2 linked regions of the Caenorhabditis elegans genome follow. The protein of the gene in region 1 purifies or fractionates together with the protein of each later gene. This does not show direct contact. Each region holds a gene or a part of one and is shown in the gene's direction. Other genes may lie near its edges. The genes, in order: lin-59 and asic-2.

What was found.
Region 2: the proteins of lin-59 (region 1) and asic-2 fractionate together in Caenorhabditis elegans (co-fractionation; one large-scale study listed by BioGRID). This does not show direct contact.

Annotation. Positions count from the first base shown.
Region 1 is NC_003279.8:3,718,045-3,723,276, reverse strand, and holds the start of lin-59 (putative histone-lysine N-methyltransferase lin-59), read left to right. Parts: upstream 1-2,119; 5' UTR 2,120-2,216; coding exon 2,217-2,273; intron 2,274-4,112; coding exon 4,113-4,433; intron 4,434-4,696; coding exon 4,697-5,022; intron 5,023-5,232. UniProt on the Caenorhabditis elegans protein: Probable histone methyltransferase. Essential protein required to maintain expression of homeotic genes egl-5 and mab-5. May play an analogous role to the trithorax Group (trxG) proteins.
Region 2 is NC_003279.8:7,478,326-7,484,136, forward strand, and holds asic-2 (Degenerin-like protein asic-2), read left to right. Parts: upstream 1-1,782; 5' UTR 1,783-1,809; coding exon 1,810-1,902; intron 1,903-2,137; coding exon 2,138-2,269; intron 2,270-2,402; coding exon 2,403-2,552; intron 2,553-2,600; coding exon 2,601-2,755; intron 2,756-2,872; coding exon 2,873-3,002; intron 3,003-3,047; coding exon 3,048-3,200; intron 3,201-3,244; coding exon 3,245-3,319; intron 3,320-3,704; coding exon 3,705-3,837; intron 3,838-3,885; coding exon 3,886-4,058; intron 4,059-4,140; coding exon 4,141-4,281; intron 4,282-4,344; coding exon 4,345-4,419; intron 4,420-4,466; coding exon 4,467-4,568; intron 4,569-4,941; coding exon 4,942-5,067; 3' UTR 5,068-5,180; downstream 5,181-5,811. UniProt on the Caenorhabditis elegans protein: Could form pH-gated heterotrimeric sodium channels that act as postsynaptic excitatory sensors in the nervous system, generating rapid, transient inward currents that fully desensitize upon extracellular acidification.

The DNA of each region.
Region 1 (5,232 bases):
GATAGAATATATGCTGAAGAAGAACTGAATTTAGGTAATTCAAAGTCAGGAGCCAGAATTGACAAGAGCGAGTTTAATTTTAATTCTGGCCGTGGAAAAAACTTCCGATTTTGATTTTCTTTTTGCGCTAAAAACATGGTGCATTCCGTCTGAGTGTACAAAAATCTATGGTATTTTTTAAACAAGTATTCATTTATTATAGATTGTTTTTAAAATTCAATCGGAACAATCTTTTATTAAAAAAATTGCAGAACTAGGCCATTTTAACCCGGTTTATCAAGTTTAAAATTCAAAAAAATTGATAATTGTTCTTTTCCGTGTGGAGTATACGATAATTGTGGCTGGATAAGCTGCAGGTGTGCTGAGCTCACTTTTGGAATATTCTGAAATTTCCAAAAGTTCAATAAGTATTTCCTGTAGAATGAACCATTATCTTAAAAATTGACAAATACCAAAAATACCAAAATTATTTGAAATGTCCTTCAAGTTAAACGCGTGGTAAGTGTGATAGGCATGGAGGCCTGCCTACCACGTGCCTTTACTCATGCCTACCGCCAAAGCACAAGAAAATGCCGTAGGCGGGAATGTAGGCAAACAGGTTAGAGGTAAGCACTGAAAGTTTGAAACAATAAACTTGCGTATACTACAAAGAATAGAAACCTCTGGAGTTTTGGCAAAGATACTTTTTGAACTTTCTTATTAATTTCCAAAATCAAATTTTTTTTTTTTGAAATAATTTGAACAATCTCTACAGTTTTACTTTCAAATATGAGAGTTGAAGATGCATACCGAACTGTGCGGTTCCTCGACGCAATGCATCACATTTAACGCGCAAGTTTCAATTATTACGGGGACGCCAAATCTTAAGAATGCGTATGGAACAACATATTTGACGCGCAAAATATCTCGTAGCAAAAACTACAGTCATTCTTTAAGTGACTTCTGTAGTGTTCGTGTCGATTTACGGGCTCGATTTTCGAAAATGTTTTATTTTCGAACTTTGACAGCGAACATGAATTGAAGTTATTTACAATTAAGAAAAGCGAATAAAAATTTCGAAAAGAAAACATTTTCGAAAATCGAGCCCGTAAATTACTGTACTTTTCGCCACGAGATATTTTGCGCGTCAAATATGTTGTTCAATACGCATTCTCAGGATTTAGTAATATATCTAGTGGCCACCCTTGGTTCCCATTCGAATGAACTCCCCTTCCTTCCTTCCATTCCCCCTATTCATTCAAAAACTTATTCTTCGTTTTCTTCCTCAACACAATGTTATCATAAAACGAGGAGACCGAGAGGCGAGAGAAGCGGGGATTCTCGACTTTCTTTGGCGCGCGACGATGCAAAAATTGCAGCCGCGCCGCCGTTGTCTGTCTCCACACTGGCTCATTGCCAAATGTGAGGAGATTGAGAGAGAGCGAGTTTGTGTGCAACCTGTTGTCAACTACGTCTCTCGTTATAAGACATTACATGCAGCATGTCTCGAATTAGAACCAATTGTCTGCACCTCTCCCTTGTTCGCTTCTCTCTCTCTCTCTCTCATACACACAAATAACACCAAAGTGAAACACAGGCCCCCATCCATCGGACTGGTGTCTTTCTTATTCTTTCCCTCCCCCCTCTCTTTACCCCCTGCATTGCTTCGAAAGCCAGCCAGCAGGCGACCGCAACGCACGACCGCAACGCGTCGCCTCGCCTTCTAATCGTTATTATATTCACTACTATTGGAAGACACCGACTTGTCTCTCTAGCACCCTCCGCCTGGGTTCCCGCTCCTTCTGAGTGACTGTCGAGCACGGCTGCGTCTCCTCATTGGACCGCTACTCTAACCATTTCGCATCGCCATCGCGGCCCTTGACATCCGTCTTTTTGTGGGTTTCCTTGAAAAGAAGCTTGTGCCTTCTCATCCCCTCCTCATCTCATAAAAAACACCCAATCATTTCCATTCAACTCTTTTTTCCTTTTCTTTATACTTATTAGTAATAGTAGTACTCATCATTGCAATTTCGTCATCACTTTCTTTGATGTTTGCATATACTTAATCTCATTATCATACATACTCATTACCTTAATTACCCCTCTCCTAATTAATTAGATTAATAATTCGAATTTTTAGCGCTCAAAAAGCCCAAGTTATTAAAAAAACTGAAACAAGGTCGACCTGCAAAAGGGTCGCACGAAATGGTCAAGTAACAAAGTGAGAGCCGCCGAGAATGCACGGGGCCGGCGAGCAGCAGCAACGTTACAGATATAATGCTCGAAGTGATGAGGTTGGTTTTATCAGTTTACATTCTTTTTCCTATTCCTATCTCCTCCTTACTCGACATGACGAATTAAGATGGGTGGCAAAACACCCTTGCAAATGACGTCATCGGTTAAGCAAGAACTCTCAGAAATTTCGAAATCATTTTCCATGTATTCCCCCACCCTCATTTTTCCATCATCATTCAATTCATTGCCTCGGCGAGACATAAACAATAACACCAAGTCTCGTGATGTTGTCATACAGCTTTTTAAAGTTCAAAAATCCTTTCTAATTCTATACCTCGTTTTGTTAATTGAGCTCCAACACGAATTTGACCTTTAATGTGCATGAAAACAAACCCAAATTATAGGGCAACAACCATGCAAACTTTGTGAAAAGTTTGAAATGGCAAGGTTGCATAATAATCGAAAATTGGTTTGGAATTTTTATATTACCAACTTTTTATATTGCACCAACTTTAACAGCTCATATCTCAGTTGCCATTTGCTCTATTTAAAAACTGTCAACTGACAAAATATTTATTAGTTAATTCTCTTTTGTTTGTAATTAATTAATAATTGATATCTTCTAAATGAACCGAGATATAGCTTTTAAAAATTCAGCAGTGTGATCCAATACTATTAAAAAAATACGGTAAGCTAGGTTATTATATCTTTTGATCATTTGAGCAATGGGTTGTGGTTATCGAATTTTGAAGTTTTGAACTTGTTTTAAAGAGCTTGACATGTAGAATAACTTTTTGGAAGAGCCCTCTGAAAATTGATATGTTCCTTGTTAGGTGGGTTGCTACTATTAACGGAAACTTGTATCAACTCTAGTTTTTTTTTTAATTTCCAGTCAAAAATTAACTGTTCTAATTATCATAGTTTTGAGCATTACAAGACATTTTAAAACTGATGCACCTTTTATTTTAATTCCCAGAAGAAACTCATTTTCAAACAAAATTTGAAGAGTCAAGTTTTTACAATAGGCACAGGCAGACAGACGTAACACCACTAACACAACCTAGTTTTACTTTTCCGTGTACGGTAGGCGTAGGTCATCTCTAAAGCCAGATCTGAAAAACTCAGTAGCTTGAACTCTACCAAAATTTCAAATAATTTTTGAAAGTCTAGCCTTTTATTTTTAAGTTTTAAGTTGTTTTTAAGTGCATAATAATCCCCAATGACGCTTTTGAAATTCCATTTGCTTAGCAACCAAATGGATTTCAAAACTAAGTCACAAATCCTCATTTCAAAAATAGATTCCTGCAACTCGTGATCCTCTTCTAAATATCACCCAACTATACATCCAGTAATCCCTAGTTGACATTAAAAAAAACCGAATTCTATAAATGCAACTCTTTCTTCTTTTTTCCCCATTTTCTGGATACTAATCTGCACTCTAATCTGTCCTCCTCGTTCTCGATCTTTATCTTTCATTCGGCCATCGCGACACAGTTTTCATCTATATTTTTCGACTCGCAATGTTTTGAAATTTATTCCGACAAATTGGGTGAAAAGAACGAAACAAGTACATATTTGGAACTTTTTGATTTTAATCTAGTAACCTTTCATGCATTGCGCATACCTTTCCTCAAACCTGATCCAACTTCATAAGACAAGTTCAAAATTTAGGATTGATCGTTCTAGACTGATCTCCTTTGATTAGTGGAAATTCAGATCTAAACTGGAAATTTGGGTCTTGCAACGAAAAACTGTTTTCAATAGATTAATCAGTAGATTAATTGTACCATCACTTTGAATCAGAACATCATACTTTTCCACTTGCTCCTGGATCTTCGGATTTAGGAGCATTTTTAGATAATCCTAACCCCAGCTCTAGATTAATATCCTGATTCCAGCAACACCATCATCCATCGACGTCTTCTCACCAATACCAACAGCAGGGTGCTCGACAGATGCACCAGATGCATCCGATCCAGGCGACGCTGATGTGCACCCCCACCACCACCTCAGCAGCAGCATCAACTTCCTCGTCGGGCGGTAGCAATAGTAGTGGTGGAAGTGGTGGTCACCGTCAGCAGGGGAACATTCTTCGCATCGGAAATTCCATCAAAATCGGTGACAACATTTTGGAGCCCGCAGGGACTCTGGTGTTCTCACAAGCCGACGGGACGCCGTGGACTGGGCAGAGGATCGTGGTAAACGGGAGTACACATGCGGTGAGTTATAATATTATTTTTTAATCTTTTCATTCTTATCAGTAATTGTTTAAGTTAGGTGTTTATGAGTTTCTTTTGTTTGAATTCATTTTGAAACTAAAGCATACACATATGATAACAACAAGCCATGCGATGTAATAAATGTCTTTCTTTTTTATCAAGCGAAGCAAATCCCTAGGGAATTATTACCTAGGCAACACCACAGCACCTCTTCCATCTCTAACCCCTCTTCTCAATTCATTTTGAAACTCTATACTCTTCAGGTTGTCAAAGCCAATCTCTTTCCAATTGGCACAACACCGCCCGTGCTCAACATGCAGTCCAATCAAAATTGGTACATGAATCAGCCGTCCGGTACAGTTCCGATGTCAAGTAATGCACCAGCAACAACGTCGTCTGCAACTCCTGATTCGGGAATTCAAAGTGTTCCGACGTCTCCGCCAAGTCCGAGCTATGCAATGATGAATGATGTGGATATAGGTGATCATGACGATGAAGAAGACGATGATGGTCCAGCTGATTTCACAGATATGCCACTGTTGAAACCAGTAGATGAGGATGATGATTGTTATGATGTTCCTTGTACAAGGTTGGTTCTTGAAAGTTTTGATAATCTAGGTAGGCAAACTTCCCAGTTTGTAGAATTATTGTAGGATTACTGTGGATATATTGCAACAGTTTTGTAAAACTTATTTTGAGACCAATGCGTTTATCGTGTCAGCATCCCACTTTCTGATTGTTATATTTTTTCCTCGATTTGGAGCTTTAATTGGCTTCTCTGATGTGAAACAAATTTTCA
Region 2 (5,811 bases), 3.8 Mb from region 1:
TGCATTTAAAGCTCTGTTTGAATTAATAACAGTTAAAAGATAATTAAAATTTAATACTCGTATCAAAAAAAGTTATTTGGTCAACTTCCAAAATTGTGACCTCAGTACTGTCGTTTCTCCAAATTTAAAATTTCAAACCAAAATAATCTCGAAAAAAAAGTGAGACCAAATTCCGAGAAACTTTTATGAAAAGCAATGAAAAGAGCAACCACGTCAAACTGCCACAACTGACTATTCGTTTCTGTGGACGCATTGAGTGGGAGAGGCGATCGCAAATTTTTCTCCTTCTGCCTTTTTATTATTCAAACGTTTTGCAGAAAATGCGAAAAAAAGAGAGCGGAGGAATAAAGCATGCAAATATTCGGAAATTTGAAAATTCAAAAACCAAAACTCAACTCAGAAAAGTGTTTACTATTAAGTTATGAGCTGAATTTGAAAAACGGTTGAAATTTGGGTTTTATTTGACAGTCTTCGGATAGGGAGAAGCTTTGAATTTTCATGTATATTCTTACTATTGCAAGCGACAAAGTTGAAAGTATTCACACTAACCGCTCACTTACAAAACCAAGAAGAAATCCCAACAACTGGTAAGATTTTCGTTTGCATACTTTTGAAAGTTGTCCTTGAATATCGAACACGAACGGGCAGTTTGAGCGGGAAAAAAGATGCAAACTAACGAAAACAAGCAGAGAAAAACAGCGTTCTCCATATAGCATTCATCCATTATTTGTTCCTTTATTATAAATAGTCAGTTAATTAGATTAAAAATATTCAATTTTTAGATAGTTCGGTTTTTGTTCGATTGATTTGAATTTTTTAAAGCAAATGAAGATGTTACTAAAATTTAAATTATAGGAAAACTGCCATAATATCGATAAACCCATACAAATATAGAAAAAGGCACAACAGAGACAAAGGAATAAAATGGAATGCCCTTCCAAAAACGTTCGATCGAAACGAAAAACCGGGGCAGAACAAAGTGGCCAAATGACGGAAATATTTGTATGTGGTTGTGTGTGTGTGCAAAATGGAGGAAATTGAAGGTTCGCTTGTTGGTTGGGACATGTGATACAACACAGACTAAGGACATTTATTTATAAGATTCAGATGAATAGAGAATAAGAAATGAGGAGAGTAGAAGAGAAATGAAGATGAAAAGAGTAATGTTTGATTGAGAGAAGAGAGGAGCAATCAATGTGACACACCAACACCTCATTAAATCATTTCTGAACGATTTGAAACCACCCGGAATCTTTTTAAGTAAATATGTGGAATTATGTCATATTATAAAAACTTTAAGTTTGAGCCAAGGAACACTGTGTTTTCTTGAAAACTTTAAAATTGGAAAATTATGGCGGGTCTTAGGCATGTAGGAAAGAGATCCTGAAATTCGGACCTACTAGCAGAGTAGCATCAGTGGGGATTTTCCAAAAATGTATTCAAAATGGTTCAAAAGACTAAACTATCTAAATAATAAGTCGAAACGGTTTACAAAAGTTGTGTGTGCACATCTTTGACCAATGTCTAGCATTTTTGTAATATGTATTATACAATTTGAATATGCTTCCATTTTACGAGTTATCTTCGAGTTGCTAAAATTGGATATATTTATTTTAATTGTATACTCCATTATGTGCAAAATTCGCCCAGCAATTTTTTTTCAATTCTCAGCTTTCCATTTGAAAAAGAGCAAACATTGTTGTCTTTTTGTTTCAAACAAAAGAACATCTCATTTGAAATTTCTTTGGTATCCATGGGCACCTCATTTTCTGGAACAGAAACACACAACAAATCATTTACTTGCCCAAGATGCGCGGTGGCGGTTTTGTGCAGATTTTTAAGGATTTTTCCAATTGGTCTACTGTAGCAGTTGTACCACACGTGGCAAATGCAAATAATAAGGTAGGTCAATAAACAAGAATTGCAAGAGATAGAGAATTAGACAGTCAAGAAGCATTGTGAAATGACGTCATTCCCCTTTCGGAATGATGTCATAAAAATAGAAAAGATAAGAATGTGTCAAGAATATGGATATTTTTAGATTGGGGCATGTAAATTTGAATCCATAAATACCACATTTTTAATGAGAAAAACAAAGAATAGATTGGGAATAAATAAAATCTTGCAATAGTTTCAGATTTCTCGTATTTTCTGGATTGCCATATTTTTATTTGTTCTGGGAATGTTCGCATATGAACTTTACATTTTAATCGCAAAGTTCTTTTCGTATCCTGCCACTGTCAACACAGAAATTCTTTTCGAGAAACAGGTATCTTTTTGGTTATATAAAACTACGAGGATTTTATTTTGATCTGGAAATTGTAAAAGTTTGTTACGTTATTACTGGCAAATTGGAACTGAATATGAATTTAGAAAATAAGTCTACAAGCAAGTTTATCCAGATATTTCCCGTCGTTACCGTGTGCAACATGAATCCTTACAAATACAGTGTTGTAAAATCGAACAGTGCATTTTCAAGTGTTAATACTCTGATGACAACATATTCTGATGCTACTGTTGGAACATTTTCAACTGATAAATGGGGTCTCTATGTTAGTTTGTGAAACAATCTCGCATTTAGAGTAGCTCATCTATTTTAGGCTGATAACGATGAAACCTACGATTTGGATTCTCGAGCAGCAGATGCTCTTGTATTGGAAGCAAATTTGATAAGTGATACGGCAAAAGTTCCTGCTTTATACACTTACGCGGATTTGATTCAAGATTGTAGTTTTGCGGGTATTCCTTGCTCGGAGTAAGTTGAAAATATATTTCGATTTGGGTTAGGTCACATAGTTTTTGGTTCAAAAAACTCAAACATTGTAACTGACAGGCAATAAACTAATTCTTAAAATACAAAAAATAATTTTAGATCAGATTTCACAAAGTTCATTGATCCAGTGTATGGAGCATGCTACTCATTTAACGAAGATGCGTCACTCAATTATTCTGTTAGTAGAGAAGGTATTCAATTTGGATTAAAATTGATGCTTACGGTCACGGTAAGTACTTTTTTAACAACTTTTGAGCATTTCAATACATCTTAGCAAACAAAAACAAATGGGAATACCGATTCGTTGCCAACAACTAAACTAGCGGGTGCCCGGATTGGAGTAAACTCACGTGGGAGTAGTCCAGGACTAGATTCAAATGGAATCGATGCAGGAGTTGGATATGAAAGTGCTGTTTCTGTTAGCTTGGTGAGATTATAGATAGCTTTCAAAATTCATACGTACACCTTTAGACTCAAAACGTTCGAGCAAAGAAACCATATGGAACATGTGTGGATCGAGAACCGGATAGCTCGGATTATTACAAGGTTTGGATTATTTTCTAGTAATTTCTACACAAAATAAAATAAGAAAGAAATCTTCACTGAATTTTGATTACAACGAGTTTGTATTTATTTATTTGTTAGTATCGGATTTTTCATAACTTCAGTCGCTTAAAAATGGAAAATTGCCAGGAAGGGTTTTGTGTAATTATTTATATAATACATGATCATTTATAACAAGATCAATTATTTAAACACTCCAAAAATATTTTAAGATCAAAATTGCCGAGTTTTCGAAAAATTGTAACTTGTGAGTAGTTTTAGAGCACTCTCACAGGTTCGAAGGCTGCAATATTTGAATACAAGTCACTGAAACATAAAAGCCTCACTTTTGACTTTTGAAAACATCATAAAATTTTACAAATTCTAGGATTTCATTTACACACTGGAGACATGTTTCAATGGATGCAAACAAAGAGACACTATTGCAAAATGCCAATGCGCAAATCCGAGATTAGCTCTCGGATCCACAGATACAGCATGTCAGCCAATAAAAGCAGATTGTATGGTTCACCTTTTTTGTGATTACGACCAATTCAATTAATTTTCAGTGGACTGCCTCCAAACATTGAAAGGAAATCAAACAAGTTCCACTCCGAATATTGATTTATTAGTTGAATGCAATTGTAATCCTCCCTGTGATGAATCAACCTACACACCAACAGTATCTCTTGCTCAATTTCCATCCACTAGTTATTACGTCGCAACTTCGTCTACTGCTGGGGTACGTTCACGTTAAAGAGTCTCGAGCAAGAACGTATTTTTCAAGTTTATATTTTTTAAAGTCTATATTCCTATCATTGAAGGTTGGAAGCTGCTCTTCAACAAACTCGAAGTTTTCAAGCAAATCAGATTGTCAGAAATGGTACAACAATAATGGAATGATTATACAAGTGTTTTTGGAAACGCTCAGCTACGAGCTATACACTGAAACTGCAGGATATACGGTAAGCGGGAAATAAGATTCTAGTCCATATAATTAAGTTTACAAAATACTATCATATTTTCAGGTTAGCAACGTTATTAATGACTTGGGAGGACAAGCCGGTTTGTGGCTTGGACTATCCGTTATTTCTGTTGTTGAGGTTTATATTTTCTTTTTTACTCTACGAAAAATGCCTTAAAGTTTCAGATGACAGGTTTAATGTTAGTCATGGGTGCGTTCTGTGTAACTGGTGGAGCTATCAAAATGGCTCCAGACGATGATGAAATTGAAAATGATCACAGAATCAAGGTACATTCTATAATTTTTGCGAATAATTATTAGCATTAAAAAGAACTTGGACCAGGGCTGAAGATGTTCCGTTGACTTTTCTCGAAAAAAAATTGCCGAAAACACGATAACTTTTGCTTACATGTTTTAGGCAAAAAATTTTTTTTGGATTCTGTCATTATTTGGATTGTGAATAGATAAACAAGTATTTATAATTTCAAAAATCTAGAAAAATTAAGTTTTGAAATTCACATTCACACTTTTCAAAATTAGAAGCCGACTCGAAATTATTGAGATTTAATTAATATTTATTACTGTTTTTCAAAACCTCAAAAACAAATATTGAAAATTTCATACTACCAGAAACGAATTGAACAAAGTGAGTAAATTCCAGGACGTGGAAGATGTGAAAAAGGAAATCGATCATTTGGAGAAAAAACACGGAGAAATGGAGAGCGGCAGCGATGGGGAAGTTGACGATATCGAGAATAAAGGAGATGAGGAGAAAAAGAAGAAATAAATTAGCATTTGGTTGTCAAGAATATGTTCATTTGAACTATACTACAATAAGTCTACACTTGTTGAGAATATAAAAGACTGATGACAGAAATGAATACATTTGATACAGTTTGATACAGTTTGAGTAACTGTTTCGATGAAATAATTTTCAAAAAACTCTGAATAACTTTAAAGTAAAAGTAGATATTTGAAACCTAAATCTAAAACTAAGAATAAGCTCTCAAATAGGAGTACCCATTATGTGCCTGTTAAAGAAAAAATATATTTATTCTAGCTGTTGGTATTTTTTATTTATATTAGGTAAAACTAAAATTTTGCTCTATGAAATATTCGTGAGAATTCGTTTTCTGAATGAATTTTGAATATTATTTTGCAAATTTTTCAAAAAACGTACTCAGCACTCACATGAAAGACAGTTTGGACAAGAAATAAATTGAATCTGAAGCCGATTAAAAACAAAAACTTTCTGCAGGAGAACACTTTAGCAAAATATATAAGTGTTGCATTGAAATTCCAACGTATTTAGTTATGAAGTCATTAAATTGGCTATCCAAAGAGGAAAATAATGTCGGTTCTAGTAAGACTTAATCTTGTGTTTTCGTTTATATGACCTATTTTGGAAGTCTGCATCAATTTGATCCTAATCAAAAACTTATTTTGCAATTAAGAAAAAATCATTTTTAAGCTTATCATCCAAACATCCTCCACATCCAAAAAACAAAAATAACGCATTAAATGCAAAGTG